4 linked regions of the Caenorhabditis elegans genome follow. The protein of the gene in region 4 interacts with the protein of the main gene of each other region in a pairwise test. Each region holds a gene or a part of one and is shown on either strand. Other genes may lie near its edges. The genes, in order: wve-1, acly-1, fbxa-166 and pbs-6.

Region 1 (9,874 bases), on a different chromosome or scaffold from region 4:
AATTGGCTTTTTTTTGGAAAATTTACTGCTTTTAGTGCAAAAAATACAGAATTTCTCTGGAAAACTGCTTTTTCCTCCGGTTTTCGGCGTATTTTTTGCTGATTTTAGTGAATTTTCAGCAGAAAATACGGAAAAATGTGCAGGAAATTCGGTATTTGGAGTCAAGTTTTGACTTTTTCTCCACTTTTTCTCCTTTTTTGGTTTTTTAGCAGAAAATTTTGAATTTTTTGATGGAAAAAACTGGATTTTTAGTTAGAAAATCAAACAAAAACTTTTTCTGCTGGTTTTAGTGCATTTTCTGCGGCGAAAAATATGAAATTTTCAACAGGAAATTCGAAATTTGGAGTGAATTTTTGACTTTTTCTCCACTTTTTTCTAGTTTTAGTGTGAAAAGTGCCATTTTTCCACGCATTTTAACCGAGAAAATCGTCTTTTCCGTACATTTCTACATCTATACTGAACCAAATCGTATTCCATTCCATCAGCAGGCAATTTTGCCGCCACAACCCGTACGAATTTCTTCTTAACTTCGCCCAACGCCGTTTCTACCAGCTTTCTACTGGCGAACATTGCTGCTGAAAATACGAGAAAATTAGAGGGAAAAATGGCAAAAAAAACTAGAGAAAATGAAAATTTAGAGCCGTTGCATCATTATTATGAAATTTCAAGCTGAAAAACCGGTTTTTGAGCAAATTTTCGCCCAATTTCGAATTTTTCAGCTGAAAACTGAGCTAAAATGAGCCAAAAAACACGATTTTCAATTGAAATTTCGAGAAAAAAAAAGCTAAAAATTGAATTTTCGAATAATTTGGGAATTTTGGAGCTCCGATGCGTAGAAAACAAATTTTTGCATGAAAAATTGCAATTTTCTGCGAAAAATCAAGAGTTTTCCAGGAAATATGTCCAAATTCCGCTGAAAATTTAAATATTTTCGTAAATTCGAGAGAAATGATGCAAATTTCATAAAAATGTGCTCCAAATTGGAAATTTCACGTTTTTTTTCCGGAAAAATCGATTTTTCACCAAAAATTGAAAATTTTAAGCGAAAATTGAAGTTTTCCTACATTTCAAAGGTTTAAATTGATTTAAATTGAAAAAAAATCGAATAAAAATTGGAAAAACTGATGAATCATAAAATTGCGAAATAATAATGAGGGGGCAGGCGACCACTTGGAAATTTAAATTTACAATTCTGGAGGGGCAAAAAATGAGAAAAATCAGTTCATTTGAAACAGGAAAGCGGAAAAAATTTTAAAAATTTTTGAATAAATAAATTAAAGCAAGGCAGTATTTACACAAGAAAATTCGAAAAAGTGTGCGTCGATTTACGCAGCTCGTGTAGTCCCCGAGGAGAAGATTTTACAGTTTTTTGGCTTAAAAATGCTTGATTTTCGCTATTTTTCTATCAAAATTAACATTTAAACCGGTTATTTATAGCGTTTTAAGTGAAATTTGAGCGATTTTAAAGTTTTCACCGACAAAAAAAAACCGTGAAAATAGCGAAAATGGCTCAAAATCAACCATTTTAGCAAAAAAAAGTACTTGATTTTGAGCCATTTTCGCAATGTTCACGGTTTTTTTTTTGGCAAAAATCAATGAATTATTTTTATTTTTAACTTTAAAAACACTCAGATTTCACTTAAAAGTGCATAAATAACCGCTTTGAATGTTAATTTTCAAGTAAAAATAGCGAAAATCAAGAATTTCAGCGAAAAATCGTTTTTTTTTTCACCGAAAAAATCAGTAAAAATGCAAAAATGGGTAATAATGCTTGATTTAGAGCTATTTTCACGGGTTTTTCGCTTAAAAATCACCGCTTTGAATGTTAATTTTCAAGGAAAAAATAGCGAAAATCAAGCATTTTTAGCCAAAATCTGTAGAATCTTCTCCTCGAGGAGTACACGAGATCTGCGTAAATCGACACAAAAGAGAGCAATTAATCATCCCATTCATCATCATCAGCTCCTTCTTCACTACTTGAATCATCATTTCCCATAACTTGATCCATTCGTCTCTTCAATATCGCCGCAACATTATTCGCCTCGAGAGCAGCATTCTCGGCGGCTTCTGCCTCGGCTCTTTGCACTTTTTTCAGCTTTATTCCAGATTGAATTTGAGCCAAAAGATCACTTCGAGCATCTGGTTGTTTTGGAGCAACTGGGGAATTTGTGCCAGCAGCTTCACCGTCCGCGGATGGCTGAAAATTTCAGTTTTAGTGGGAGAAAATCGATTTTTTGATGAAAATTCGGCTATTTCTCTTGAAATTTGTCCCTAAAAAAGCTTCAAAAAAGTCCAAAAAACACAGGAAAACTACACATTTTCAGCGGGTTAGACACACATAGAGCCCTGCTGTTCCAGCGCCTTTACCTTTGGAGCCGGAGCTGCAAATGACGCTGCAGCCGAGCTTATAACCATTGGAGGTGGTGGTGGAGGTGGTGGAGGGATCTGAAAGGGATCGAGAATTGAAGAAAGAAGCGGAAAGTGGACAACAATGAGGGAAACACAAAAATGGACAAAAATTGCAAATTTTTAACTGAAAAATTCGGGGTTTTAAGCTTGGAAATTGCAGAAATATAGCTTCAAATTAATTTTATGCACTACAAGAAATCTTGGAGCTTTTCACAAATTTCCAAGCTTTTCCAAGCTGTTTCAAGCTTTTTAAGCTCATCGAAGATATTTCAAGCTCAGTCAGGCTTTTTTAGCTTTTCCAGGCTTTCGCAAGCTTTTTCGAGCTCGTCTAAGCTTTTTGACGCCTTTTCCAAGCTCTTTCAGGCTTTACAAGCTGTTTCAAGCTCGCACGAGCATTTTGAAGTTTTTCCAGGCTTTTTTAAGCTCTGTAAGCTTTTCGAAGCCACTATCGTTCTCTTTCAAGCTGTTTCAAGCTGTTTAAGCTCATCGAAGCTATTTCAAGCTCAGTCAGGCTTTTTCAAGCTTTGTCAAGCTTGTTCAAGCTCCTCCAAGCTTTTTCAAGGCGTTTCCAAGCTTTTTCAGGCTTTTCCCAACTCTTTCAGGCTTGCTCAAGCTTGGTCAAGCTTGTTCAAGCTCCTCCAAGCTTTTCCAGGTTTTTCCAGGCTTTTTCAAACTATTATAAGCTCGTTAAGCTCATTCAAGCTATTTCAAGCTCTGTCAGGCTTTTCCAAGCCTTTTCAAGCTATTACAAGTTCGTTTAAGCTCTACAAGCTTTTCCAGGCTTTTTCTTGCTCTTTCAAGCTTTTCCAAGCTTGTTCAAGCTTTCTTAAGCGTTTTGGAATCTTTTCCTGTCTTTTGCAGGCCTTTTCAAGCCTTTTCCAGGGTTTTCCAAACGTTTTCAAGCCATTTCAAGGTTCTCCAAGCTTGTTCACTATTTTTTCAAGCTCTTTAAGCTTCTCCAAGCTAGTTCAAGCTCTGTCAGGCTTTCCAAACTTGTTCAAGCTTTATCGTTCTCTTTCAAGTTCTTCCAAGCTAGTTCAAGCTCTGTCAGGCTTTTCCAAGCTTTTCCAAACGGTTTCAAGCCGTTTCAAGCCTTTCTAATAGAGTTCAACCAATTTTTCGTGATTTCGTGGCCCAAATGAACAAATTAAAGCGAAAAAGCGAGATTTTGCCTGAAAAAGGCTTAAGGCTTCTAAACGCTCATAATAACTTAGAATAATAGAGACTTTTCACATTTTCTAGTTTTTTCAAGCTTTTCCAAGCTTTTTCGTCGTGAAAACGGACAATTTAAAGCAAAAACGCAAGCTTTTTTCCTCGCAAAAACCAAGATTTTACTCCAAAATCTCCAAATTCTCTCGAGCTCCAAAACGTACATTAGTCGGCGGAGCAGCACTCGGCTCGACAAACTGTATCGTCGACGGAGCTTCTGCTGGTAACTGATGTACAATTGATGTATTCATGAGAAGCGGTGGTGGTGGTGGTGGAAGATCATCATCATCATCATCAATCGATAAAATTGACATATCCGGTGGTGGGAGGTGATCCAGATTCACTGGCGGCGGAGCTTCAGTCGGACGTTTAACATTCGGAGATCCACGAGCTGCTGCTGGAGCACCACCTCGTTGTTGGCTCGGATGCACATTTTGTTGAGGATGATGGTGCATTGTCATTCCGATTGGGGCAACCATGTTGGAGGGGTGCTGAATTTATCAAAAATTGGGAGATTTTCAGTGGAAAAAATCGTTTTTTTCTTCAAAATTACTCCCAGAGAAGGATATTTGGGCTTAATTATCGATTTTTCAGAGTTTTTTTGTCATTTGGAGCATGAAATTTCTTAAAAATTCACTGAAAACTTCCAAAAAACTCGAGTTTTCAGCCTCAAAGACAAGCCAAAATCAATGAAAAACGTTTTTCAACAGAAATGTTTCACTTTTTCACTAAAAATATGCTGAAATTGATAAGTTTTTTTGGAAAAATCCCTAGAAACCGTACAAATTAATTATAAAAACCCTATAAAATCGAATTTTTCAACGAAATCCTCTAGAATCCATAACTTTTCAGCTTCAAAATTATTTGTTCCCATTGAAACTTTCGACTTTATAGGATTTTTATAGTTAATTTGTAGGGTTTCTAGCGATTTTTCCAAAAAAAAAATTATCAATTTTCGCATATTTTTAATGAAAAAGTGGCACTTTTCTGTTGAAAAATTATTTTTTCTAAGGAATTTCCCACTAATTTCATTGATTTTCGCTTGTTTTTCGGTGAAAACTCGGCTTTTTGGAAGTTTCTAGTGAATTTTTATGAAATTTCAAGCCCCAAATGGCTAAAAAACCCAAATATTGGCCCAAAATAGAGAATTTTTGCCTTCTCGGGGAGCACAAGAGCTGTGTAAGCGCTGAAATCTCGTTGAAAAGTTGATTTTCTTTTTAAACAATAGAAAATTCACTTTTTCAGCAAAAAACTCGATTTTTTTTCAAATTTTTGGGCTCAATTATCGATTTTTTCCGATTTTCAACGGTAAAAAATCATTTGAAGCGGAAAAGCTGGGACTTCGTTGAAAAATTCGATTTCATAGTTTTTTTGAAGTTAATTTGTAGGGTTTCTAGCGATTTTTCCAAAAACTTATCAATCTTCGCAGATTTTAATGAAAAAGTGACTTTTTCTCATTGATTTTGGCTTGTTTTTTGGCGAAAAAGTGCATTTTTAGGAAATTTCATGCTCCAAATTACTGGAAACCCATAATTTTGCCCCAAAATAGAACATTTTGGCCTGCTCGGGGAGCACAAGAGCTGTGTAAGCGCTGAAATCTCGTTGAAAAGTTGATTTTCTTTTTAAACAATAGAAAATTCACTTTTTCAGCAAAAAACTCGATTTTTTTCAAATTTTTGGGCTCAATTATCGATTTTTTCCGATTTTCAACGGTTTGGAGATTTTCTCTTCAAAAAATCGAAAAATCTCGCGAAAATCTACCTGATTTTTAAAGTTAAGCTGAAGCCCGAGAGCCTGCGGAGCCTGATATTCCTCCGGGAACGAGAAAACTTCATTCTGCTGATTAATCCGTGATCCACTAATCTGTCGATTCCTATGCTGCATATCATTATAGGCCGTCGTGCCGAGAGGGCCTTGTCCAGGCTGCTTCCGCCGCTTTTTCGGGCTTTTACTCCCGTCGTTCGGGCTTTTTACCCGTCTGGGCCGTTCGGCAACCTCTTTTAGTGTCTCCTTTTTCCATAAATCGAAGAAAAACGAGGGATTTGTGTAGAGAGAGAGCGCAGGGATTTCAGAGTCTCTATACGGATTTAGAGCATCAAGATCCGGCGGTGGATCACATTTTGCATATATTTCAGTCAATGCTGTAGGTAAAGTGCTTCTATCCAGAATATGTTGATCTACAAGCATTGAACTTTTGAATGCTTTTCGCATATTCGCTTCATTCAACGTTGCTTGATCGGAATTTGAATCCAAATCTTCAACTTTCTTGTGCAATCTATCAATTCTCTGTTGAAGAGTGTTCGATTTGTGATTTATTATCATTGCGTCGTGATAAATCTCTCCGAAGATGTTCTCAGCGTGCTTACTGCAAAAAAAAATCGATAAAATTCCAGTTTTCCGACCTAATTTCCCACCTCAACGAGCTCAATTGTCGTACTAAATTGGCGATTGTCCCATTAGCAGTACATTGAAGCTCATCACGATGGATTGTTGATGGAATTGTGCCTCTGCTGAGGTTTACCGGTGATACCGCCCGTTTTGTTAGAGGCATTGCTGAAAATGTGCAGAAATTGCGGGATTATGTGGGTGGAAATTGCGAGAAAGCGTTAGAATTCACAGAAGATGACTTGAAATCGAAAAAAAATCACTTTCTTCCCTGAATAATATGTAAAAATCCATGGATTTAATGGAAATTGGCACGAAAATCGTGAAAAAAATTAGTTAAACATAAAAATTCACTGGAAACTTCATAAAAGCGAGCAGCCAAAATCAATGAAATTAGTTGGAAAATTCCACGAAAAACTCTAATGTTAATGGTAAACACGAAAATGCACTGGAAAAATTATAAAATTGAGTTTTTTAAACAGAAAAGCCACTTTTTTAATAAAATTATGCTGAAATTGGTAACTTTACCGGGAAAAATCGCTAGAAAACATATAAAATTGCTTCATTTACATGCTAAACCCACAAATTCACTGAAAAACTTATAAAACCTAATTTTCCAACGAAATATCATAAAATACATAGTTTTTCAGCTTCAAAATTATTATTTCTGTCAGAAAATGTTTTTTTTCATCGGAAAAACTGCAAAAAACGAGGAAAAACCAATAAAATCTCATGTTTTTCAATTAAAATATCATTAATCCAGAAATGCGCCAAGGTGCACCCGGGATGCGTCAGCAAACACTCACGAGAAGTGCGCAAGCGAGCGTCTGCACTCTCTCGAATACATACAGTGTCTCGCTGTGATTCATCGGAAATATTTTCATTTCCGGAAATGTTTTATATTTATTTAAATATTAATTTTTTTCGGTCTAAAAAATGATATACAAAACAAAAAATCGATACAGGAAAATGCGAAAATAGAATGAGATTGAAATTTCAATATTTACTGTTCAAAATATTCAAAATATCGTGAAATGGCGAGGTTTCGGAGAGATGGTCCTTTTTATTTATCAATGAAATTGTTCTAATTCTGAGAAAAATAACAAAATATAGCTAAATTCTCAATTTTCGCCAACTTGGTTGTGTCACAGAAGCTAAAATTCATTTCGAATACCGAGCCCGTACAGTAGTCATTTAAAGAATTACTGTAGTTTTCGCTACGAGGTATATTTCGCGTCAAATTTGTTACGTAATAAGCATTTCACTTTCCCAACAATTGCCGATTTCTTCTCCAAAATATCCCTCCCGTAAACCTACACAAAATCGACCGTAGTGCGGCACGTTCGCTGCGAGACCCGCCGCGCGTTTGGCCTCAATCTTTTTAGGACTGCCAAATTCGATCGAACATTTTTAGTCTGTCTTCCACGCGGAAACACACTCGTTTTTCTTCAAAAAAAAATCTATCATGGCTTCCCAAGGATTCTCCGTCTACGGTAAGTATAGTAATAAATCGGTGGTGAAAATTAAATTTAAATTTGTACAAATTTTGAATATGATACAAAATTCTCAAAACTTCTGAAACTTTCTCACACTTTTCTTCGATGAACTTTTCTTCGACTTGCAGAAAGTATCGATTTCTGATAATTGTTAGCGTTTTCCGATCGGCCTTCGTTCTCTATGGTTCATTCGTGTTCCTTGACAACAAATCCCGATATTTCAGGTAGTCCCCTTCCACGTGTATAAGTATAACTGAGTCTACTAACTGAGTACCCGGGACCCCACACGGATCGCCACACAATTCTGGAAATGGAGACGCCGTTCGACCACAAAAAGTATGGGTGAAGAGACTTTTCGCACTGTCATGGTCTCCGTAGTCTAGGACTAGGATAGGGTGCATTTGCTCTGTAACAGTGCATTGTGAGAGTTTGTAACTTTCTATATATAGGCCAAAACCTACTATTACCCCCGTTTTGCTAATCGATTTTTTTCTAGTTGGAAACGTTCCATACCAAGGAACTGAGGAGGAGATCGGAAACTACTTCGCCGCCGTCGGACATGTTAACAACGTCAGGTAAGAGAACTCAGAAACTCAGAAACTCGGAAACTTTCGATTAAAACCTTGTCAAAACTAATCAATGTCTTCCAGAATCGTGTACGATCGTGAAACCGGACGCCCACGCGGTTTCGCATTCGTCGAGTTCTCCGAGGAAGCCGGAGCTCAAAGAGCCGTCGAACAACTTAACGGAGTTGCCTTCAATGGACGCAACCTTCGTGTCAACTACGCCAACAAGTAAACTGACAACGCCGCCGAGTGACTCAAAGAGATTGCACTTGTGATATACATTCCACCAAAAATTCTATCTTCGTGCATGTTTTTCACCATCTACACTTAAATAATAAATCTTTTTGAAAACTGAAAACTTCGAGCATTTTTTCACAGAGTGCAGGTTTACGGCTCAGTCTTAGGCTTAGGCTTAGGCTTAAGCATAGGCTGGGGCTCAGGCTTCGGCTTTTAGACCTAAAAAAAGATCGTTGCACCATGAGCAAAGTATTATAAAGAAAATTGACTTCAAAGAAACTGACACGTGGTGTCAAAGTGTCCCATTTTGGTTTGATCTTCGAAAAATGAGGGAAAAGAGACGCAGACTTTTCAACTGACGTCACACTTTCCTGGGGAGAAAATTCCCGCATTTTTTGTAGATCAAACCGCAATGAGACAGCCTGACTCCACAGATCCCATCTGAAAACTCATGAATTTAAATAATGATGCATACTTTTACTCTGTTCTGGCTTTGCATCACTTTGAGAGCCTTTTCAAGCTTTTCAGATAAATATTTCCTTGATTGTGCTTGCCTACGAGCCTACGTGCATACACAGAGATTTCGTTCGTACTTTTCTGATTACATCTCGGGATCCGCGGGAGTACTCCACTACTTTACGAGAGAGACCATAGGCTTATCCGTGCTCTGACTTGAGGTGTTTGTCGACACTTGCGGCAGACTCCGAGAAGGATTTAGACTAGAAATACGATAGGTATTATAGTTTTCCAGTCTGGAAATTTGCATTTTTCTGGTTCATTACGACTTGATGAGCTTGAAATTTGAATAGTTTCAGATAAAACATTTATTTAAAGAAAAAATTAAAAAATTAACATAAACGACCTGCTAACATTTTTAAGCAACGTTTTAAAATTTGATTACACAACACTCAACTCTGAAAACGAAAGATATGAAACTGTTTCTCTTCGAATTGGCTCAGGAGCTTCCAGGGGTATTTCACAATTCTCTGAAGCATGGATATCCGCACCTACAAGAGGAACACGACTTATCACAAAATCCGAGTAGCTGATATAAAGTGTCCATATCCAGATATACGGAATGTAATACACAAACATCACGTTTTGATAGATTTTGAAAACGATTTGGCTTTGCTCATGAGCTATCGATAAAACCATTGCACCAAGCTGGAAAATTATGGAGAATCCAATAATTATCGAGGAATAGATAGCAATTGACACGGATTCTATATGGATATTTGGTTTGATCGTCCATTTTATCAGTAGGATTATAAGCATGGCAATATTGACAAGGTTATGTAGAACATCGAATGTTTCTATATCAAAAGTATGAGTTGAGTTGATTTTAACCTTTGAGATGTACAACGAAAATCCAATTTTCAAAACCAAAAGCCCTACTATCAACGCAAAAACTATTTGGCTTTTACTTAAACATAACGTTTTGAATTTGAAAATCAAAAAGAATAGTTGAATAAATATACAACTCATTGTGATAAAACCTAGCTGTTCGATAAATAAATGCACTATCAAGAACAAAAGTTTTTGGAAAACCAGGGTATTGAATATTGAATTGAT
Region 2 (9,225 bases), on a different chromosome or scaffold from region 4:
TCACAAATGGATTATGAAGGCAAGACGCATACAGTCGGTAAGGTAAGGAAAATGAAAAGTTGTTTGAAAAAATAATTAATTTTGAACATTTATATTACTATAAAAAATGTATTAACTAAATTGAGTTGTTGTTGGTCAGTGCAATTGTTGAAAAAAACGTTTACTTCATTACTCTTTTTATTCAATTTTGAGAGGGACCTCTACCAATTCATAAATCACAAGTTCAAGCTCCCCTAAATCTATCCAGCCTTAATCTGGAAGTGGAGCATTAGAGGACTGGATTATAGGCCTTGGTCCCCGGCTTGAACAAGGCTTAAACTGAAACAAGTGCCACCAGAAAACTGAAACGGGCTCCAACCTTTCAATCATAACTATAACAATGAAATTTCAGACAGCTATCACCTGCAATGGCCTTTATTGTTTGACGCTTTCTGAGCAAGCATCTTATTTCACAGTGTTCAATGGAACGTGTCCCGATCCGACAGTGTCTATTACAAATTGTGATGTAAGTTTTTAATAGCACATATTATTTTGAGTTTTCAAATGTGTTCAGCGTTGGTTAAGTAATTTTGCTCATTTGATCTTAGCTAACTTTAGTAAAAATTCAAGCCAAAAGCGTTTTCAAAACTGCTGAGAGGTCTACAAAAAATATAATAAGTTTCAGACCAACGGAGTGAGCTGTCAAAAGGAAAAGCTTGGTGATGTTGATGTTAAAGCGTGTTGCTGTAATTACGATTTCTGCAATTTATCAGGACAGAGCTTTACTACTTTTTCAGCAATATATGTTTTTTGCATGTTCTTTTTCCTATTTTGAAAATTTAAATAATAAAAAATTGACAAAATAAAAAGTCAATTTTCAGAGCCTCTCGTTTAAACCTTTCCATAATTTTTAAGCCTGAAAATCCAATTTCCAGATGAGGCCTGTTTAAGGCCTATGTTAAGACTAGGTCACCACAAAAATTTCAGGGACAGAATTCAGCTCTGAACCCCTAAAATTACCGTTGGAAAGTGTTTCGGTTCATTTTTGTACTAGGTTCAAAACTCAAGAAATTGCGATTGAGATGGTTTTTTCATTTAAAAAATAAGAGTTTTTTTTTCATTAAAACAATCTAAAAATACATATTTCGGCCGAAATTTTTGGGTAAAAACCTGTATTTTAAACCTTTTTTTAGTTATATAAGTTTTTGAACACAAAAGAAAGCTAAAAAAAAAGGCCCGTGCTAAATTTTTTTGGCTTAGCATTTCTTAAGTTCCAGAAAATTCCATACTATACCATGCTTTATTGTCTAAGCTGAATAAATATCATCAAATTCAAGAAAAATACATTTTTGTAAGCTAAAAAGTAAAGCTCATGGGGTGCAATATTAAAGTTGAGAGTAGAGTACGGGAAATAAATTAATGAACAAGTTGAGAAAAAAAACCTTGTGAAATTATTGCTTGGTTGGGGGGAGATAGGGGACTTTTAGGGTACAGTGATTAGAAAAAATTGGAATGCTTCAGTTGCTTGGTCCAGGAGAATGTTGAAGGGTTGCGGAATTTACTGAAAATTGTTCATAATTATCATTGAAATTAGATATGAATTTTTTTGAAACTTGGTCAGTGCGTAAAACCTTAAGCAATTTATATTCAAAACTTTACCAAGTTGCTCTCCGGCATAATGTAGGAAATATCATCCCATGGATGACGGTACAATCCCTGCTTCAGACGCGACTGATCCAAGTAGTGACCGATAAATCCAATAGATCTACCCAAAACGAAAAGCCCATTGAGCGATCCAATCTCGATTGTCTCCTCGGCCTCCTGCTTGGTGAACATGCCACTGTGGCGAAGGATATCGACGAATAAGATCGCAATCGCTCCGTCCACGTTGAGAATGAGGTTCGGTTTTTTGGCGGTCGTGATCTTCTCGACCTCAAGAGCATACTCGAACAACGGCGTCTCCTGGGCAAACTCCTTCTTGTCCATGGCAAATCTTTTCAGAATCTCCACACGTTTGTCAGGGTTGTTGATCTGGAAATTGACAATATTTGAGCTCTTCGGTATTAGACGTTCTATTTAGAGTACCGACTTGGATTACGCTAATTCTGACAATACTGACACTTGGTGGGTGTCAGAGTATCACGTCTCGGTTTGATGGTACACGTCAGAGTGTCCCATTTTAGTTTGATCTACGTAGATCTACAAAAAATGCGGGAGTTGAGAAAAACGTGCTGACGTCACATTTTTTTTGGACCCAAATTTTCCGCATGTTTTGTAGATCAAGACAACTTGACACCACGTAATGGTAAAATTTCCTGGGCACGTTGTTCCCGCAATTCTCAGAGATCAAACCGAGATGGGACACTATGTTTCTAAAATGAATCACTGTAGTACACTACTACAGTAACTACAGTGAGACATTTGTAAGGGTACTCAAAACCATTTTAGTCTCTACACTTACACTCTTCACACGATGTCCAATTCCCATAATATGCTTTCCCTTCTTTCTCATCTCGCTGACAAACTGATTCGCCGACCATCCTTGATCAAAAGCCTCAGAGAACTGACGAGCGGCTCCATCGAGGGCACCTCCGAAGCGATCACCAATGGTGAGTAGACCAGACGTGAGCGAAGAGATCAGATCTTTTCCAGCACGAGCACACACAATAGTGTTATGGGCTCCCGACACAGCTGGTCCGTGATCGGCGGTGAGCATCAAGCAGATCTCGATAAATTTGTTGGCATGTGGTGGGAGACGCTTCTGAAATGTATTATTAGTGGTGCTGAAAACAGGTCTCAATTCCCACCTGGAACCACAACAATCCCAACACTCCACCGATTCCCATATCCGACTCCAAAACCTTTGTAATCGGTACTCCCGCATAGTTCAACTCTTCTCCTCTCTCATCACAAATTGAGGTCATGAAGGAAGCTGGTTTTCTAATGAGTCCCAGTTCACGAGCCCACGCGTAATCCATCGGCACCGCTGGAGGTGGAACTTCTGGCTGTGGAACGATGATTTGTTGGCTGACAAGTTCGTCGTACGTCTGACGGATTTTGTTGCCAAGATCGTCAAATGACTCGGGGACAAGGGCACCTGAAGCACGGAGAGCAGCATTTTTGCAGGCAGCGGTTTCTCCGAGAGCATTTGCAGATGCTCCAGCGTGACCGAATTGAACCTCCGATGTGATGTGATCTGCACAGGTTCCGATGCACCATGCGACCAATGGCTTTGTCACCTTCTTCTGCTTGAGGAGATCCACAATTTTGTACTCTTCAACTCCACCGACCTCACCGAGAAGAACAATCATCTTCACACGATCATCATTTTGATAGCGAATCACGTGATCAGTGTACGTGCTTCCCGGATAGCGGTCACCTCCAATTGCAATACCTTCATAGACTCCGTTAGTGTTTTGTGAAATGATATTGTTAAGCTCATTGGACATTCCTCCGGAGCGAGATACATAGGCGACACTTCCAGGGCGGTAGAGCTTTGAGGCAAGGATGTTGTCCATCATTCCACCGGTGTTTCCAATCTTAAAGCATCCCGGCTTGATACCTCCGACGGTGGCTGGCCCAACAAGGGTGACTCCACGGTCATGAGCAATCTGAAAACAAGCATAATTAGAATCAGAATACTTCTATTTCCGGTGGGGGAAAACTTTACCTTCAACAGCTTTCTAGTCTGATTCTCAGGGACACCTTCAGCAATGATCGCAATAACCTTGATTTGTGGGAACTCGAGCGCCTCGAGAACAGTCTCAAATACAGATCTCATCGAGGCAAAAGTGACCATGATAGAAGCATCCGGATGAGTTGCAAAAGCCTTCGCCATCGACTTATAGGCTGGAATGAGAATTTCCTTTTGCCCAAAGTAGTACTTCTGCTTGTTGTCCCCAGTGAACGGGTAGGTGGACGCGACAACCGACGGGGAGCTTCTTCTGCAGACATAGTCAAAGTCCAGCATTCCTTGAATAGCCTTAGCCTGTTGTCCCCAGATGATGGCCTTGGTGTCGTCCTCGAAGAGTCCACGGAAGCTTTTCAGTTTGTTCTGTTGGGCAGTGGTGAGTGGGTGCTCAGTTGGAGTGGCGTTGGCTGCTGGCGAAGGTGGAGCTCTCTCAGTGCCTCCGGTCTGAAAAATGATAGATTTGAATTGTAGAAAAATGGATTCTTCAAGTTCACTAGATCTGAATGCACAGGGCATTTTCGATTTTTCACTAGGCCCTAAGTGAGCCCGCTTGTGGCTGGCCTATGTTTCCCGCTTCGCACCAACAAACGTGGTGTCAAAGTGTCCCATTTCAATTTGATCTACGTAGATCTACGAAAATGGCGGGAATTTAGACGCATACTTCTCAACTGGATTCGCATGACTCAAAGCTTGCTGACGTCCCATTTTTTCGGGAAAAAAATTCCCGCACTTTTTTGCAGATCAAACCGTAATGAAACAGCATGACACCTCGCACCAACGTAGCTAGTTTTTGGTCCTAAAAACCTACATTTCTCTCAGGGCTCAACAAAAACTGTCCGGTAGTCTGTGGAGCTGTCGGAACTGTTGGCATTGGCTTCACTCCGAGCGCTGCTCCAACAATCGCCGTCATATGAGTCTCAGGTCCGAATACATGAATTGGCAGCTCCAACTTTGTCGCAGCATCCTTGATTCTTCTGAGTCCCTCCTGGTAGTTTGGGCCTCCGCGACGCACGAAAATTGTCACCTTGTGCTCTTTGAGCTTTGAGACAAACGTTTCAAAGGCTCTGACGATTCCACCAAAAGTTTTAGCAACATTTGTGAAGTTGGCGATGGATCCTCCGATGATGAGGACTTTTCCATCAGGTCTCGGAGTACCTTCGGTCATCACGGAGAGGAGTGTCTTTGCGTATTCATAGGTTTGCGATTCAGACGGGTCTCCAGAGTATTCTCCGTAGTTGGCGAGTTCTGATGCTCCACCGAGGTCACAGACAGTGTCGCTGAAACAAATATGGCTAGACTTTAAATTCTATATTTTAGACTCACGTAAACACAACTGAAGCTCCACCACCAGCCACCATCGTCCAAACTCTTCCCTTTCTGTTCAAAATCGTCAGCTTCAAGGAAGCTCCCGTCTTCGCATCCATCTCCGAAATGTACTGCTCCTCTGACGTCAAATCACGTCCAAACGGAGCTGGGAACTCCACGTGGTTCGGTCCTCCATATGGTGTCAGACGGCTCTTCCACTTGTCTGCGCACAAGAAATTGGCGGTTTCATCAAGCCTAGCTGCCAAATCCAAAACATGAATCTGGTTGTTCAAAAGGACAAATGGATTAATCTCGAGATACGTGAAATGTAGGTCCTTGTAGGCTTTGTAGAGCTCTACCACAAATCTTCTGACAATGTCACTGTCCTTGAGTGGGCCCAGGAGGGTGGTGAGCTCTTCATCCGAGGGGGTCATGGCATTCTCGTTGAGCTGGACGGGGACGGATACAGTGCGAGCCTGGAAATACTCTCAGTAATTGGGAAATTGCAAAGGTTGAGTTTTTTTAAATGAAAATGATCCTATTTTACAAAAATGATAACTGCGGAGCAATTTGAATCCAAAAAAAAATTTCCGGGAAACTAACCTTTTCCTCAACATCTCCAATATCTACACCTCCTTGCTCATAGAACATGATGACGTCACGAAATCTCTCACTGTAGATCGCAATGTACATCTCATCCTTTTCAGTGTGTGCACAAAATGGCTCGACAATAAAAGTGTGAAGCCGTCCCTCGGTTTGACCAACTCTCACATAACTGTCACCAGTTTTCTCGAACCATGCCTTCAACTCTTGTGGTGTTCCAATCTTGACCAAACCCAGCTTTCCACGTCTTTTGATCAACTGGTCGGGCTTGATGACTCCCTTGTTATCACGTGCGAGCCACTCGTACTTGTTTGCAATTTCGTCAAAATTTTCGCCAGCCTTCACGTGAAACGCATGTGGAGCTGAGAGGAGTCCGCTTGGCTCGAAGTATTTGTAGAGAACCTGGAATAAAATTTAGATTGTTTTGTTGAGAATTTGTTAAAAATGTCAAATTGCAAGAAGTTTGGTGGGATCATTCTATTTTTAAATTAAAATTTTTTTTTCCAGTTGGAAATTTGCACTCACTTCTTTTCCAGATAACTCGCTCACAGCCTTCGCCGACATTGTTCACTTGTTCCAAAGAGAACGAGTTACCTGAAAGAAATTCAGAATTAGGAGGGAATACTAAAAAGCGTATGCCACGTAGCATAAAAAATTAAAAAAAATTCCACAAGAAGGAAAAAAGGAACTCAGAAAAAAACAAGAGAGGAATAAGTGTTTTGAGGCGAACGCAGGCGGTCAAAGGAAATTTGAGTAAACAACACGTTTTTCTGCTCCGCGAAGTCTGCGTCTCTAGCTTCTCCGGATTTCGCAATGTTAAGTTATTAATATTTTTGCATCAGATTTTTGAAACAATTACACAAAGTGTTCGAAAACGAATGTCTCTTTTATACCAATTTTTGAGCAAAAGTGCATTCACAAAAGGGCACTAACCAAAAAATTCAAAAAAATAGAAGAAAATTAGCTCGGGAAAGTGCAAAACACTGGAAGAGTTTTGTGTTTGGATTTTTAAAATGGGTCTGTCTTAGGTGTTAAGCTTAGGCATAGATTTAGGCTTAGGATTAGGCTCAGGCTGAGGCTAAGGCTTTGGCATAGGTTTAGGCTTAGGATTAGGCTCATGCTTAGATCTAGGAGCTCCAACAAAAAACTTAGAAAACGTGATTTTCCATTTTATTTTTGTTTTCTCAGTCTAAGAAAACAAGACCAAACGGAGAAATGCGAGAAAAGCGGCATGGAAATCAGAAACCTTTTGGGATTCAACTTTAGCTTCTCGCTCTCCGTTTTCTCCATCCCATCTATCCCCGTTTTTTCCAAAAAGAAAAGAGTTGCGGGGGCTTCTTTTTTTAAAAAAGGAAGAAAAAAAACGACTAAAAAGAAGAAAAACGTGACGTTCTGTGTTGGAGAAAAGGAAGAGAAGCAATTGAATATTCAGAATGGAGAATATTTTTCGGGGCTTGGCGGGTAGGGAAAAAAGTTTTCTTAAGTTTCTGAAGAAAGTGGACGGGTTAAAGCATTGGCTTAGGAAAGGATCACTTATAAAAGTTATAAACAAAGGAAATTATTGTGGTCAGTGCAAAAAAAAATGGTCAGTGCAAAAATTATAATGGTCAGTGCAAACATTTTTTGTCAGTGCAAACATTTTTCATCTGTGCAAAAAATTCTATTAAGTAATATCGAAAATAAATATTTCTGAACGATTTTGGATTTTGGATTTTTTTAGTAAATTTCTAACTGAACTAATCTATTTTCAATGCAAAAGTCTAGTTTAAAATTGCATCAGCTTTTCCTGTTTTACAAAAAAAACTACATATTATCAGTTACTTTCTAGGCTCCTGACCTTTCCACCACTCATTTATAGGAGTGGTCAGTCTTAAGATGGTGTGATGGTCTGTTAGCTACACGTGTATCACCTATCTCCTTATCACCGTATTTTAGAAAATGCCGCTAAAAACTTGTGCAAAAACGAAAACATGTGCGTTTCTCGTGGTGTTCCCACTTTTTTTCTCGCTGAGGTTCACCCGAAAATATGGTGCGATTCGAATTCTTATCACAACATGCTGAAGATAAATTGATAACGACTGATAAGGAAAATAAATTTGGAGAGATACGGATGTACCCGAACGACAGTGATCAATGGAGAAGGCGGCTACAAAATCCTACTTGAGAATTGGAAAAAAATTGGTTGTTTGTATATTTAAAATTTAAATTTTTTTGCCAAAATTTTGAAAGTCTGCCAAAATTTCGAACGTTTCTAAAAAATTTCGAAAAAAAATGCCAAAAGTTTTGAAATGTTTCTTTTTTAATTATAATAAATTGCCTAACTTTCTGAAAATTAAAAAAAAAACATGCCGAAACTTTCGAAACCTTTTTGAAAAAGAGTCTGTGAAAAATACCAAAATTTTTGGAATTGGAAAATCTATATGGGGATGATTTTTGCGTCTTAAAATTTAGTGTTATTTTTGTTGAAACTGATGGTAAAAAAAATCATTCGAAAATACAAAACTTTACATCAATATTTCTTTTTTTTTTCTTCAAAAATCCAAACATTTTAAGTTTTTTGGCATGTTTTTAGCCTACTACTTAGACTACAATAGTAGCTAAAAATCAAGAAAAAAATCCCGAAAACGTTCTTGTCGGGTACACTTTCTGGGTAGACGGAAAATGGATAAGGATTCGAGAGAGGACGGTCAGAAGAGGAAAAGGAGGCGAAGGAGGAGGAGGCCAACGTATTGAGGTCATGGACGAAATGGATAAAACTGGCGTGGAAGAAAACGGAGGAAAAGAGGAAAAGATTTGGGGTAGTGGAACTGGGTAGCAAGATTTTTATAGATATTTTAGGAGTTTTCAAAATGAAAAAAAAAAGAAAATTGTATTAATTTTACGAGAATTTGTTTAAAAAAAATCACGTTCAAAAACGAATAACTTTTGGGTAAATTTGTGGAAAGCTTTTATATAAAAATTTTCTTTTCAAAAAACATTTGTAACTCCAAAGCCTATAACAAATTATTCAAAATAGGGAAATTTTGAATTTAAAATTAAAATTAGCCTCCGATGTTGTGTGCACCATGTTTTTCAGAAAAACGAGAGCTTTTAGAAATTAACGTACTACATTCAAGTTCAAGCTTAAAATAAAATTATTCGAAACGCAAAATTTATCGAAAAGTTTCTGAAAATGTTGAAAATTCAGCAGGTTTTATACAATCACCAGGCCAATTAATTGTCATCATTTACGTGAATCTTGCTAGAAAATTAGGTGGTGGAATTTTGTGGAAATTTAGTTTAAATTTGTCGTTGTAAAGTGGAAAGAATCGAGATAAACACATGGTTTACTGGATTTTTCATTATTTTCTGTTCTAAAATTTATATCAATCATGATCAGTCATTTGCAAAATTCGGCAAAATCGGGACAAAAATCTTTAAAAATCAATGACCCAGACTAAACTATAATTCTCAGGAGCCGAACAAAAATTTTCAAAACTAAAAAAAAACCGATTCCAAAAAGCTCTGCCGCCGGAAAATGTTGTCTTCCAAACGCGATTTGTCAGTCAGAAAGCAGCGAACTGCACTAGACAAAGCATAGCGAAAACTAGAAGAATCTAAGTGGGAGGAAGAGAAAGGAAGTGGGAAGAATTCAATCTGGATAATGC
Region 3 (6,760 bases), on a different chromosome or scaffold from region 4:
CAAAATTTTTGTGAAATGTAAGAAAAGCTCACATAACGAAGCTTCATTGCATCTTCTTCTTTGAATCTTACGAAATGATCTTTGAAGCACTCGAAATGCAAACAGTGCTCAATTGGAACGTTCAAGCTCCAAAATCCATCAAATTTTCTAGCGTTCTTCCATTGTTCCAGGCCAACCAGCTGCTCATATCCATCAGTCCTGGCCCCTTGTTTGAAATTAATTTCTTCCAGTTTTCCAGCATGGAAAATGGGCAAGAGTTGGGCAATTTCTGCTAATGAATTGTAGTGTGCTTCCACGGTTCTTGTGGAGCTTTTTGCAGACTTGAAAGCTATCTCGGCTCTGTCAATGAATTTCTTTTGAGTGTCTTGATTAGATCCATTCGAAAACTGGAATTTCTTCAATTGAACATTTTGATTCTCCATAATCAATTTGAGATCCTTGACGCCTAGCTCTATATAGTCCTCGTCAGTCACAAAAAATTCTTTTCTGTTGTCTTCATCGCTCGTGCGAATTCTGCGACCACACGTGCAAGTTGGTTCTTGACGAAACGGCGAGTACTGAGCTACAAAAAATTAAAATAAATTTTATTTTGGCATTGTGCTTGTTTTCTGATATTATGTAGAGTTCCGTTTCTTGTACCCATTTTCAGCCGGTGCCCTATAATTAAAATTTAGATCTCCACAACCTGTATCATTTGGCCGATATTTGATTTTGTGGCGCGAATTATAGGTGATCGCTAAATGTTCATCGAAATCCACTTCAATACAATCAAACACCATTTTCATATTTTGAACGACTTTTCGAAAGTTTCGTGATACTTTCATCAGGACCAATCTGAAAATTTTTCACTGAACACATTATTGAAAAAAGTCTTACAAATTAAGAATTTCCATGCGGTTTAAAACTTCGTCAATTATGTTGAGGGGCATGTTTGACAGCAAAGGTGAAGCTGGATCTGCGCTGAAAAATTTCTAATTTGAGGTCAGTACTCTTGTTAGGGGTCTTGTAAGAAACTATAACAGACAATGTGGGTGAAAAGTCGCGGAAAAACTGCATTTTCATCCAATAGCAATAGGTCCTGCTTTTCTATAACATTTCTTTTTAAATACCTTCTATCGTAGTGCAAGTCATGGTTTCCGTTGTAAAATCGATAGAACCAGAAATCGAAGTCATTATATGACATGACGTCATTTCCAACATTTCTACAGAAGTTTTCGTAAGACTCCTGAATCGGTTTCTTGTTGAGAACTTCGTAGAGAATACATCCTCGAATAACAAGCTCATTTTCGCCAAGAACAACTGACATTTGGAATTATTACCTGAAAATTTTTCAGAAGAGGAAATAAGAGAATATTCAGACCAAAAACGAAAAAAAAATTGAAATGAAGTTACTATTTTGCCCGGAAAATGTTTACCGGTTGGGGAGCATTTGCTTTAAAGAAATTGAGTTTAACACTGATAAAAATGTATGATTTCTCAATTCTTCTCAAAATATTTCATTGAACTAGACACAGCGAAAATGAGAGAAACATGTGTTGTTTAAGAGTGAGGAAAAAATATTCTTCTGATAATACATAGCGCTCCTATGGAACTCCATGTAATGCAGAATGGTTTAAAATTCGAGCTTGTTTCGGGTGTTGTAGGATTTTTGATTTTTGAAGATTCTGATTCTTAGAATGCCAAAAGATAACCTTTATTCTGTGAAAATTAAAAAAAAAACATCAGTTATTCAATCTGGAAATTGAGAATAGCTAGAAAAAAATTATTATAATTTAGAGCTATTAGTAGTAGTGGAATTTGTAACCAGACTTTGTAATTTGGAGCTCATTCGAATAGAATCTAACATTGAAATATCTTTGGTCTGGAGTTTGGTAAACGATATTGTGCTCAGTATTGTAGACATCGAAGACTCCCATCAGTGTTCTGATGTTCATACTTTTGAAATGAAGTCTAGCATAACAGAAGTGGGCTGATCTATCGATCATCTGAAAAGATATAGGGTCGCTGAATTAAAAAAAAATGCTAGAAATTACTCACATCACGAAGCTTCACTGCATCATCTTCTGTGAATACCGATAAATAAACTATGAAAGTCTCAAAATGCAAAAAGTGCTCAATCGGAACATTCAAATCCCTCATTCCATCAAATTTTCTAGCATTCTTCCATTGTTCCAGGCTGACCAGCTGTTCACTTCCTATCGTTCCATCTCCAGTGAATCTAATTTCTTCCACATTTTTAGCAGGGAAGATAGCCATCAATTGTGCGAGTTCTAGTAGGTAACCACCAGTTGTTTCCACTGTTCTCGACGTCAAGCTTTTTGCAGTCTTCAGAGCTTCTTCGACGCGCTTCATGCACTTCTCACGGAATTCTTTTGTAGCTACAGCGATTATGGCAAATCGGAATGTTTTCAAATGAACCATCCGATTTTCCATCAACAACTTGAGATCCTTGATGCATAGTTCTACGTAATCCTCGTCAGTCACATTGATTTCTTTTTTTCTGCTGTCGCTACTGGCTCTATTATCTGAATAGGACACAGTACAACCCTGATCCTTCTTCTCATACTTGATAATATAGCGATCATTAAAAATAAGCCTCGAACAAGACTCTCCTTCATAAAACTGTACAACAAGTGAATCAAGCACAACTTTCCGTTTTTGAGCAACACTTTGCGACACTTTCATTAGATTTAATCTGAAAGTTCATTTCATTTCATTTTTTTTTCCTTTCCTCTCTCAATGCCGGTCTATTTTTTCCTCTCTTTGTCGGACTCGTGAGGGTCCCGACCTTATTATTGTTTTGATTAACTTTGATTAAACAATAAAATCACTTGTGGGTCATCCTCAAGGCAATTTAAAAAAAAAAAAAAAGTATTCCATTAAAGGTGAAGTAGTGCCAGTGGGGAAATTGTTAAAAACCACTCTTATAGTCCCAAAATGACCGAATATCATAATAAAACTATTCAAAAAATTTTTGAAATTTTTTTATGTACGGTCAAAAAGTGGCAATTACTCAGTTTTTGCCACTCATAATTTTGGAAGTCGACCAAAAAAAAAAGGTTTTTTCTAAATTTTTAATATTATAATTTTGATTTAATTATTTGTATCAAGACATTGTAGGGGTCGAAACATGTGACATTGCTTTGCCTTTCCTCAAAAGCTCATATTTTTTAATATTTTGGCACTTTGCCAAAACTTTGACCGGAAATTATGAAAAATCTAAACAATTTTGGAGTGTTTTACTATGATATTCGGTTGTTTGGGATCATTATAAGTGCATTTAGACAAAATCCACCTTTGAAGATTTTTCTCAAAATTCTTACAATTCGACGATGTCCACTTGGGTCCCGATTTCGCTGATCTCTGTTTTTTCGGATTTCGGCATCTCCGGCAAAGACTTTGGAACTTGATTGACGCTGAAAAATTATAATTTGAAGTTAGTTAGACAGTGTCAATCGGTTAAGGAAGGGAATAATTTAATTACTATAACTTGTTCCATTCCGTCCTCTTCTTGAATTGCTTGAATTGTGCTAAAAAAAACTGAAAAACTGGGCCCGCTAAATGTCTGCCGCTTCATATTTTTCGTAACAGTTTCAGCAATTTTTTTATGATTTCGTTATGAAATTCCAAAGAAAATATTCCAAACATACCTTCTATCGTAGTCCAAATCATGATTTCCGTTGCTAAATCGATCGTACCAGAATTCAAAATCAGAAAATCCCATGACGCCATTTCCAACTCTCGTACAGAAATTGTAGTAGGACAATTGGATCGGGTTTTTGCCGAGTGCTTCGTAGAGAATACATGCTCGGATAGTGAGCTCACTTTGGCGGAGAGATGCAGACATTTTGAGCTAGTACCTGAGGTTTTGAAGTTTTCTGGAAGCAAAAAAATTGAAATGAAATGGCAATGTGTGCCCACAGCTACATAAAACATTAAATGTTTCGGATTGTTTGCATCATAAAAATTAATTTCGACACTGATAAGTTAACTATTCAACAATCATAAAGAATTTTGACCAAAAATTGTCAAAAATCGGTGTCAGCTTTAGAAGTTGTATGCACTGGGTTAATAAACGAACAACTGTAGTGAATAAATTTCCTATATTCTTTAATGACCAAATATCATAGTGAAAAAATTAAAAAAATTTTATATGATTTTTTGAAAATTGAAAAAATCTCGAATCGCATCAAATTCCTATTTGAATTACCGCCAATAGTTCGATGTTCGATGCATTATTTTAACTTTTATTTATTATTTATCTTGAATTTTTCATCAAATTTCTAGTAAAATTACTCAAAAAAAAAAAATGAAAAATCAAACAAAAATAAGACAAATTAATAAATAAAAGTTAAAATAATGCAAGCGCGCTCCATCGAACATCGAACTATTGGCGGTAATTTAAATAGGAATTTGATGCACTTCGAGATTTTTTCAATTTTCAAAAAATCATATAAAATTTAGAAATTTTTTTTAAATTTTTTTACTATGATATTTGGTCATTGTGGTACCATAGGCATGTTTTAAAGCAATTTCCCCACTGGCGCTACTCCATCTTTAAGAACACGGATATTTACTGCTTCAATGCAGTCAGTAAGAATTATTTCGATATTATGGATTCGCTTAACAAAACAATAATTTTTTTGAGAAAAGATTATAAAACAAAAATGAATCATATATTGTGAAAAAATAGGTGTAAAAGCATATAAAAAATTGAAAAATACAGAGATAGTCTTTCAGAGCCAATCGTTGTAATCGTATCTGTAGCTCAACTTTGTGATTCGGAACAAATAACTATAAATTTTAACATTGAAAAATCTTTTATCCGGAGTTTCGTATGCGAAGTTTTGGTTCTGATTGTGCGCAGCGAAGACTCTCATCAGTTCGCTGATGTTCATATCCTTAGAGCGAATCTCAGCATGACCAAAGTGAGTGGATCTATCGATCATCTGAAAATTATTGTATCACTTTGACAACAGCTCACAGATAGATTTGAGTAAAAAAACTCACATCACGAATTTTCATCGCATCACTTTCTGTGAATGTTGCCAGGCAAACTTCAAACCACTCGAAATGCAAAAAGTGCTCTATTGGAACACTCAGCTTCCCATCTGCGTCAAATTTTCTAGCATTTTTCCATTGATCCAAGCTGACCAGCTGCTCAAATCCGGTATCTTTCTCTCCAGCAAAATATATTTCTTCCAGTGTTTCAGCTGGAAAGAAAGCCACTAGTTGTGCAAGTTCTGAAAACGAAAAAGGCCATATTCTCACAGTTCTTGACGTTAAGCTTTTCGCAGATTTGAGGGCTTCCACAATGCCGTTCATGCATTTTTCACAGAGTTCTTTTCCAGTTCCAAAAGTGAATTCAATTGTTTCCAATTGAATTTTTCGATTTTCCAGCAAACACTTGAGATCCTTGTTAAATAGCTCTAAATAGTCTTTGCCAGGCACAAATATTTCTTTTTTGTTGCTCCTTTCGTCATATTCTTCCAAGAAATAATCATCTTCGTTGACATAACTGTCAAAATAGATTACCGTACAACCGCCACCCTTAGGCTCATACGTGATAATGAAGCGGTCGTTATAAACAATCTTCGCATTCTTTCCTTCAAAAAAGCGTACCCCAATCGAATCAACCACATCTACTTTGGCTTGAACAACGCTCCGTAAGTTTCGTGACACTTTCATCATGACCAATCTGAAAATGTTCCACTGAATGCTTCGAAAATGTTTGTTAAATTCTCACAAATCCATAATATCCAGGTGGGCCAAGATTTCGCTGATAATGTTGAGCGGCATGTTCGGCAAGGACTTTGGAACTGGATCGGCGCTGGAAAAATTTATCCAATAGAAAATCATTAATTTACTACAATGTTTTCCATGATAAAAAATCTTTTGAAAAATTACCTTCTATCGTAGAGCAAGTCATGATTTCCGTGGTAGAATCGATAGAACCAGAAATCAAAATCATATTGTGTCATGACGTCATTGCCAACTTTTTTACAGAAATTATCGTAAGACTCCTGAATTGGTTTTTTGTCAAGTGCTTCGTAGAGAATAAACGCTCGAATTACGAACTTATTTTCTCGAAAAGATAATGACATTTCAAACTATCACCTGAAAATTTAAAACTTTTAATAAGCAAAAGAAATCTCAGAAAAAAAGTGGTAATCAAAAATGTAGTACCGTATTTTCTCCATTTGTTTTGTACCCGACTATTTTGCTTTGAAAGGTTAAATTTCGCTTCATTTAAATCTATCAACTGCAATTGTATAGAAAAATGAAGCAAATGTCAGTTGACAATTATTTAAAAAAAGAAACGACAACTGAAATATCAGCTGTCAAATTTGAACAATCGGGTGCAATACTAATAAAAATATACAGCACCTATTTTGCTCAGAACTGTTTTGGAGCAAGATGATAACAAAACGCTACATTTCGAAACAGATAACAAAGTATGATTTCACAACTCTGACAACTTAGTTCAACGGAGACAGATAGAAAAAGAGTAAGGGAAGTATTTTAACTCGACTAAAGCAAAAAAAAAAACTACTTTATCGATCAATGGGTGTTTTGGAGAATTCAAATTAAAAATACAAAAAAATAGACAGTGAGTATTCAGTGGAAGGTAGAAAATAATCCAACAAACGCAACAACCAAGCAAAGGTTCGTAGCATTCTTTTTTCCATTCCACCATAATTTTGATTGCAAAACTCTCAGAACGAGCTCTGACTCTAAATCAACAGAAAAATGATAAAAA
Region 4 (5,446 bases):
TTCCACAATTCCTTAAGTTCATCATCACTGACTTGTTGGTCAATATCTCCATCGACTCCATCTCCAATTCGACTTGAATCTCCACTCACCAACGCCTTCATACCGTAACCTTCGACACGTTCATTTGGATGAGCTTTTGCATAATGAGAACGCATTCTACGGACATTTGTGCACTCGAAACCACACAGCTTGCAAGGAATTTTTCGATTTGAATGAGTCAGAGCATGATCTAGAAGTCGAAGTTTTCCATATTTTACACGCCAGTTGTATTTGAGACCACATCCCTGAAATTATATTTTTATTATTGAGAGGGATGTGAATCGAGCAGAGACCTTGGGCATTTTCATAGGTGCCTTAATCATGCCTGTCTACATAATGCCTAACTCATGCCTTTTTGTAATTCTTTGGAAGTATACCTAAACATGACTCATGTTTGCTTCAAGCCTGCCTACCTAATACATACCACCAACCTCCATTCTTTTTTGTTCCTACCTACACATGCATCATTCCTGCTTGTATGCCTACCTCAAACCTTCCTGTCTCATACCTGTCTACTCCATGCCTACCTACATGTTCTAGAAGCTCAAGCCAACTCACCGGAAAGTTGCAAGTAATTACATAGTTCGCATGTGAACTTTCCAATTCTTCTCCTAATCCCTTTTTTAGACCTTTTAGCAAACTTGCTTCTTCATTCTTTATCTTGCTTTCAGTAAACATTTGTTGACGAAGAAGATCTTCAATTATATTTCTTTCTTGTTCATTTGCCTGTTCAGAATCATTTAATGAGAAACTTGATGATCCTGAAGTTTGATCTAGTATCTCTTCAGACTCATCTAAAACTTCTTTCTTTGGAACTTTCAACGCGCTTGATGGATCCGATGGAATGTCTGATGATGTTCCGGGAATATCTAAATTTGCAGTGGGATCCCAGTCATCAAATAATCCTTTTAGAACCTGAATTAGTTTTTAATAAACCAATAAATTCCCAATTTTTCCAACTTACAGATGCTGGTCTCTTTCCTCTGCTCATCGCATCTGAATCTCGTGGCTTCAAACCCAGAGTATCGACTAAATTCAATGGTTGAGCAAATCCAAGTTCAGCGGAAATGCTTTTAAATGGTTTTTTGAGAACATTTTGTGATTGTGCAGATATAGATTCTAGACATTTTGGAGATGAAACTAGTTGTGGGGCACATGAGGTTGGTGGAGTTGCCGGTTTTTGAATTTTCTGTGCAGGAGGATGAATTGGAACTTCTGTCACCCACGAATCCGGACAACCAATCGTTTTCTTTAAATATATTTTATTTGGAGGTTTCATTAAATGCAATTTACCAAAAAGTTGACTCAAAATTTATAAACAATTTGAAATTTTAACGTGTTTTCGCTTTTCTAGGCAATTGTAGTGCCTTGGTGCTTTGATTAGTTCAGTTTGTGGAACATCAAAGTGAGTAAGTAGTTTGAGCCACTGGGGATTTTGTAAACACATTAGCTTAAAAGTACTATTCCTAATTTAGAGTTGTTTCCTACAGTAATATCATTCCAAAATTACAATTTTATAAAATACAGTATTTATGATTTTTGATCGACCATTACATAAAGAATAACCTGTCATATTATTTTTATTGCCAAAATAATTATTACTCAAGTTTTTCTAATCTCGGGAATATTTATATAATTAGAAGCTAAATGTTGCCAAAAGCTTGACCTACCAAAATAGATTGCAAATCGAGTCCTCGCATTTTGAGAACTTCCAAAGTTTGATTGTAGATGTTAACTTGAATATAAGTTGACATTTTTCAGTAAATACCAACTTGTCGAGTTGCAAAGCAGGAATGAATCAATGACACAGCTGGGCAGACCACAAAGTAAGAGACTCGAAACGCAGACGGTTCTAAGCAGCGCCGACTCACTCCTTCTTTTGCATTATATCTTGTGTCTCACTCGTGCGTTCTTGCCCTGTGTGTTTTCGCTCTCTGCATTTTTCTCTCTATTTTGTAGTTTGCGTTGGACGCCGAAATGTAGTCATGTTGTAGACTACAACATATAAGTGGAGGAATATTTATCAGATTACCGGGATGGTAAAACAATTTCAGAGGGGAAGAGGATACGAATAAGTTAAAATAAAATGAGATAGATACTGCAATAATTAATCCTCACGAAGTGGCAGGAACTTTACGACGACTGGCTTTCCGGCTTCAGCGATGACCAAGTGAATTTTGTCTCCAGTAGAGATTTCACGCTCAGCAGCACCACGGAACGAATCCTAGAAAAAATAAATGAATTAGGTTAAAATTACGAAATTCAATTATACCTTCATCAATGAGATGGCTCTGTCCAATGTGAGTTCCGGACGCTCATATCCTTCAGAGAGCGTAACGTGCCCGATTTGACAATCCAAGAATGGAATGATCATTGGTTCAGCGGCTCCACTGGCTGAGTATCCAAGACGCTCGATACATCCGATTGGGTCGTAACTGAACACGGCCCCTTTTCCGTGCTCGTCAATTCCGGCAAGAATAGCTCCAGTGTAGTATGGGAAGAACCGACGGTAATAGAGGTTGCGGGAGAGAAGTTCTGCGCAAAGATCCACAGACATGTCAGAGCGATAATCGAAGCGGTACTTGTGGAGACGAGATTGGAGAACTTTCTTCAATTGGAGGACATCTCCATAGAATCCAGAGGTGGTGAGGATGATGTTATCATTCCTGAATTAAGAATTATTATTAAAACAAAGACAAATACTGGCTTACAAAATTTGAATCTTCTCTGCGTCACGTGTAAGAATGTTGATGTCGTTTTGGGTCATTCTAGTATCACTTGCCACGATGGCAAAGTTCTCCCCAGAAATGGCACAGGTTGATCCTCCCTCCATTGAATACGGGTTCCAGCGTTGACGCTCAATTTGTCTGGAACTCATCCACTCTGGATGAGCTGCAACTTCCTTCATTGCCTGCTTGAACATTGCCATTTCATTGGTGGCGTTGGCGACAGCCGTGATTCCAGTGAAGCTTGTCATCTGAAAAAGGCGTATACTTATTTAGTTGAAACAATATAAATATTCAATATGACAAAATTCAATTAATACAGAAAACAAATGCTCGAAATTTGAGAATTCAACATAACAGGAAATGCTGACAATGAGAGACATCGTCATTTACAATGTTTAGTCCGCAGTTTTCTGCGCGTTCAAATGCACATCGCACATCGAACTATACGACACTTTGCTGAAATTTATTGAAACGCGTTTTCCTCTCTTTTTTGAATGAAAATTCATTTTTCCAAGGTATTTTTGAGGACAATTCATCGCTTTATCTACATTTCTGATTAAAATTTTTGTGATTTCTTTTTTTCAATAATTGATATTTCAGATGGCAGATTTCACAGAGCAAACTTTGCGACAGAAGTTAACAAATTTATCAAACCACCCTTCCTCAATTCAGACGACTTCTGCCTGGCTTTTGCAAAATCATAGCAATCGGGAATTGATCATTCGAGTTTGGCTAAAGGTATTTTATTCATATTGTATCATTTTTTAGTGTTGTATTTCAGACAGTAAAGAAAGAAACACACGGCTCAAAAATTGTAAATCTTCTTTATGTGGCGAATGATGTAAGCCAAAATGCGAGAAAGACTTGCCCACAATTCAAGGACGAATTTTTTCCCGCAATAGAAAGTTCTTTCAGGTATTGGCATTTTCAAACGTCTAATCTCAAAATTAATTTCAGGCATGCAATCGAGTTGAAAAATGCAAAAGAAGTGGAACATGCAATTGGTAAACTGATCAATGTATGGAAAGATCGTCAGATATTCACTCCATCACAATGCAAACGGCTTCATGAAGTTCATCAACAAGTTAAGCTATCTGGAAGCTTCCCAACACCCGCAGTTGCGAACAAGGAACATGGAAAGGTGTGTGAATTTAATAAATTCCAAAAGAATGCCAAAATGAGCTTAAGGTCGCTCAACCTAGTCAGTTCGTCGTTGAAGAAGCGAAAAAGAATGCACAAGATGTTTTGCTCAGTTTGAAGCGCCTTCAAAACCCGCCGAGCACGGAAAGAGAAATTCGCACAGAACTTTCAAAATATCCGGATAATATTTCGTGCCCAGAAAAGTTGCAGTCAGTTCGAAGTTCGCAAGAAGCACAGTCTCTGTTGGTCCAAAATGAAGAAGCTCTTCCGATGCTGGAGGAATATGTTAAAAGGTTTGATTGAAACTTTTGTGAATTGATTTTGTACATTAACTTATGCTTTCAGGCTGAAAAACGAGACAAATGAACGCGAAACTCTCGAATCGAACTTGAATATGCTTATAGAAAATGTTAGAATGAGCATTGAACATCACGAGAAATTGTGCAGAGAAGTTAAGCGTAGAGAAGATCGAATCAAGGCAGATTTGTTAGAGGTTTGAAAACTAGAAAATCAGTTTTTGCAGACTTGAATTGAATTTCAGGTTGAAAAAACATTCGAATCGTTGCCAGATTTGGCTGCTGAGATGCCAAATGCACCATTGCCAACACTTGAAGCTTTGTTCGAGAAGAGGAAAAAATAAGTATCATACTACGTCATAATTATAACTTTACGATCTCAGTAGCTTTTACTGTACCCCCATTGTTGTATAATTTTTGTTCACTTTGATCTTTTACAATCGTGATCACCATTACCACATAAGTGCTTTATACGTTTTTCTTCTGAACCACCTTAAATGAATTTATTTTTTCTAAAATTCAAGTTAGTTCTATTATCTGAAAACGGTTCTTAACCAGTGTTTATCTCTGAAAGTTTGAAATTAATTGTTTAAAAGCTGATATTTTACAGATGGGTATTCTGGAGAAAATTGCAGAAATCGAACATGAAATTTCAAGAACCCAAAAGAATAAAGCCACTGAATACCATTTGGGTCTTCTAAAAGCAAAGTTGGCAAAATATCGTCAACAATTGTTAGAACCAACAGGCAAAGGAGGTGCCAAAGGAGAAGGATTCGATGTAATGAAAAGTGGAGATGCGAGAGTTGCAATGGTTGGATTTCCTTCCGTCGGAAAATCGACTCTATTGTCCTCAATGACTTCCACTCACTCAGAAGCTGCTGGATATGAATTCACAACTCTTACGTGCATTCCTGGTGTCATCTCTTACAACGGAGCCAATATTCAATTGCTCGATCTTCCTGGAATCATTGAAGGAGCTTCTCAGGGAAAAGGAAGAGGAAGACAGGTTATCTCAGTTGCAAAAACTGCAGATTTAATTCTTATGATGCTTGATGCAGGAAAGAGTGACCAACAGAAGATGCTTTTGGAGCGAGAATTAGAAGCTGTTGGTATTCGATTAAACAAAAAGCCACCAAATATCTATGTCAAACAAAAGAAAGTTGGAGGCGTGAAATTCACAAATACTGTTCCGTTAACTCATTGTAATGAGAAATTGATTATGACAGTATTGCACGAGTACAA

What was found.
Region 1: the proteins of pbs-6 (region 4) and wve-1 interact in a two-hybrid assay, tested with the Caenorhabditis elegans proteins (3 studies listed by BioGRID).
Region 2: the proteins of pbs-6 (region 4) and acly-1 interact in a two-hybrid assay, tested with the Caenorhabditis elegans proteins (2 studies listed by BioGRID).
Region 3: the proteins of pbs-6 (region 4) and fbxa-166 interact in a two-hybrid assay, tested with the Caenorhabditis elegans proteins (3 studies listed by BioGRID).

The regions. Positions count from the first base shown.
Region 1 is NC_003279.8:11,923,339-11,933,212, forward strand, and holds wve-1 (Wiskott-Aldrich syndrome protein family member), read right to left. Parts: upstream 6,179-9,874; 5' UTR 6,170-6,178; coding exon 6,033-6,169; intron 5,984-6,032; coding exon 5,380-5,983; intron 4,110-5,379; coding exon 3,783-4,109; intron 2,446-3,782; coding exon 2,368-2,445; intron 2,198-2,367; coding exon 1,937-2,197; 3' UTR 1,203-1,936; downstream 1-1,202. Other genes in the region: fdps-1 (Farnesyl pyrophosphate synthase), read right to left, coding at 442-570; R06C1.4 (RRM domain-containing protein), read left to right, coding at 7,469-7,496, 7,996-8,074, 8,150-8,297.
Region 2 is NC_003284.9:1,476,489-1,485,713, reverse strand, and holds acly-1 (putative ATP-citrate synthase), read right to left. Parts: upstream 6,173-9,225; 5' UTR 6,143-6,172; coding exon 6,104-6,142; intron 5,981-6,103; coding exon 5,579-5,980; intron 5,452-5,578; coding exon 4,994-5,451; intron 4,948-4,993; coding exon 4,479-4,947; intron 4,115-4,478; coding exon 3,650-4,114; intron 3,591-3,649; coding exon 2,787-3,590; intron 2,741-2,786; coding exon 2,441-2,740; intron 2,011-2,440; coding exon 1,627-2,010; downstream 1-1,626. Other genes in the region: D1005.4 (Activin_recp domain-containing protein), read left to right, coding at 1-42, 392-505, 665-814. UniProt on the Caenorhabditis elegans protein: Catalyzes the cleavage of citrate into oxaloacetate and acetyl-CoA, the latter serving as common substrate in multiple biochemical reactions in protein, carbohydrate and lipid metabolism.
Region 3 is NC_003280.10:1,615,158-1,621,917, forward strand, and holds fbxa-166 (F-box domain-containing protein), read right to left. Parts: upstream 3,892-6,760; 5' UTR 3,848-3,891; coding exon 3,651-3,847; intron 3,417-3,650; coding exon 3,324-3,416; intron 2,696-3,323; coding exon 2,038-2,695; intron 1,986-2,037; coding exon 1,782-1,985; 3' UTR 1,672-1,781; downstream 1-1,671. Other genes in the region: fbxa-165 (F-box domain-containing protein), read right to left, coding at 33-562, 686-834, 877-960, 1,110-1,306; fbxa-158 (F-box domain-containing protein), read right to left, coding at 4,737-4,949, 5,011-5,698, 5,747-5,830, 5,908-6,104.
Region 4 is NC_003281.10:8,241,077-8,246,522, forward strand, and holds pbs-6 (Proteasome subunit beta type-1), read right to left. Parts: upstream 3,017-5,446; coding exon 2,751-3,016; intron 2,706-2,750; coding exon 2,312-2,705; intron 2,264-2,311; coding exon 2,147-2,263; 3' UTR 2,046-2,146; downstream 1-2,045. Other genes in the region: Putative zinc finger protein C02F5.12, read right to left, coding at 1-284, 598-954, 1,004-1,288, 1,710-1,793; cids-1 (CID domain-containing protein 1), read left to right, coding at 3,369-3,506, 3,550-3,683, 3,726-3,909, 3,957-4,201, 4,254-4,401, 4,450-4,548; putative GTP-binding protein C02F5.3, read left to right, coding at 4,815-5,446. UniProt on the Caenorhabditis elegans protein: Non-catalytic component of the proteasome, a multicatalytic proteinase complex which is characterized by its ability to cleave peptides with Arg, Phe, Tyr, Leu, and Glu adjacent to the leaving group at neutral or slightly basic pH.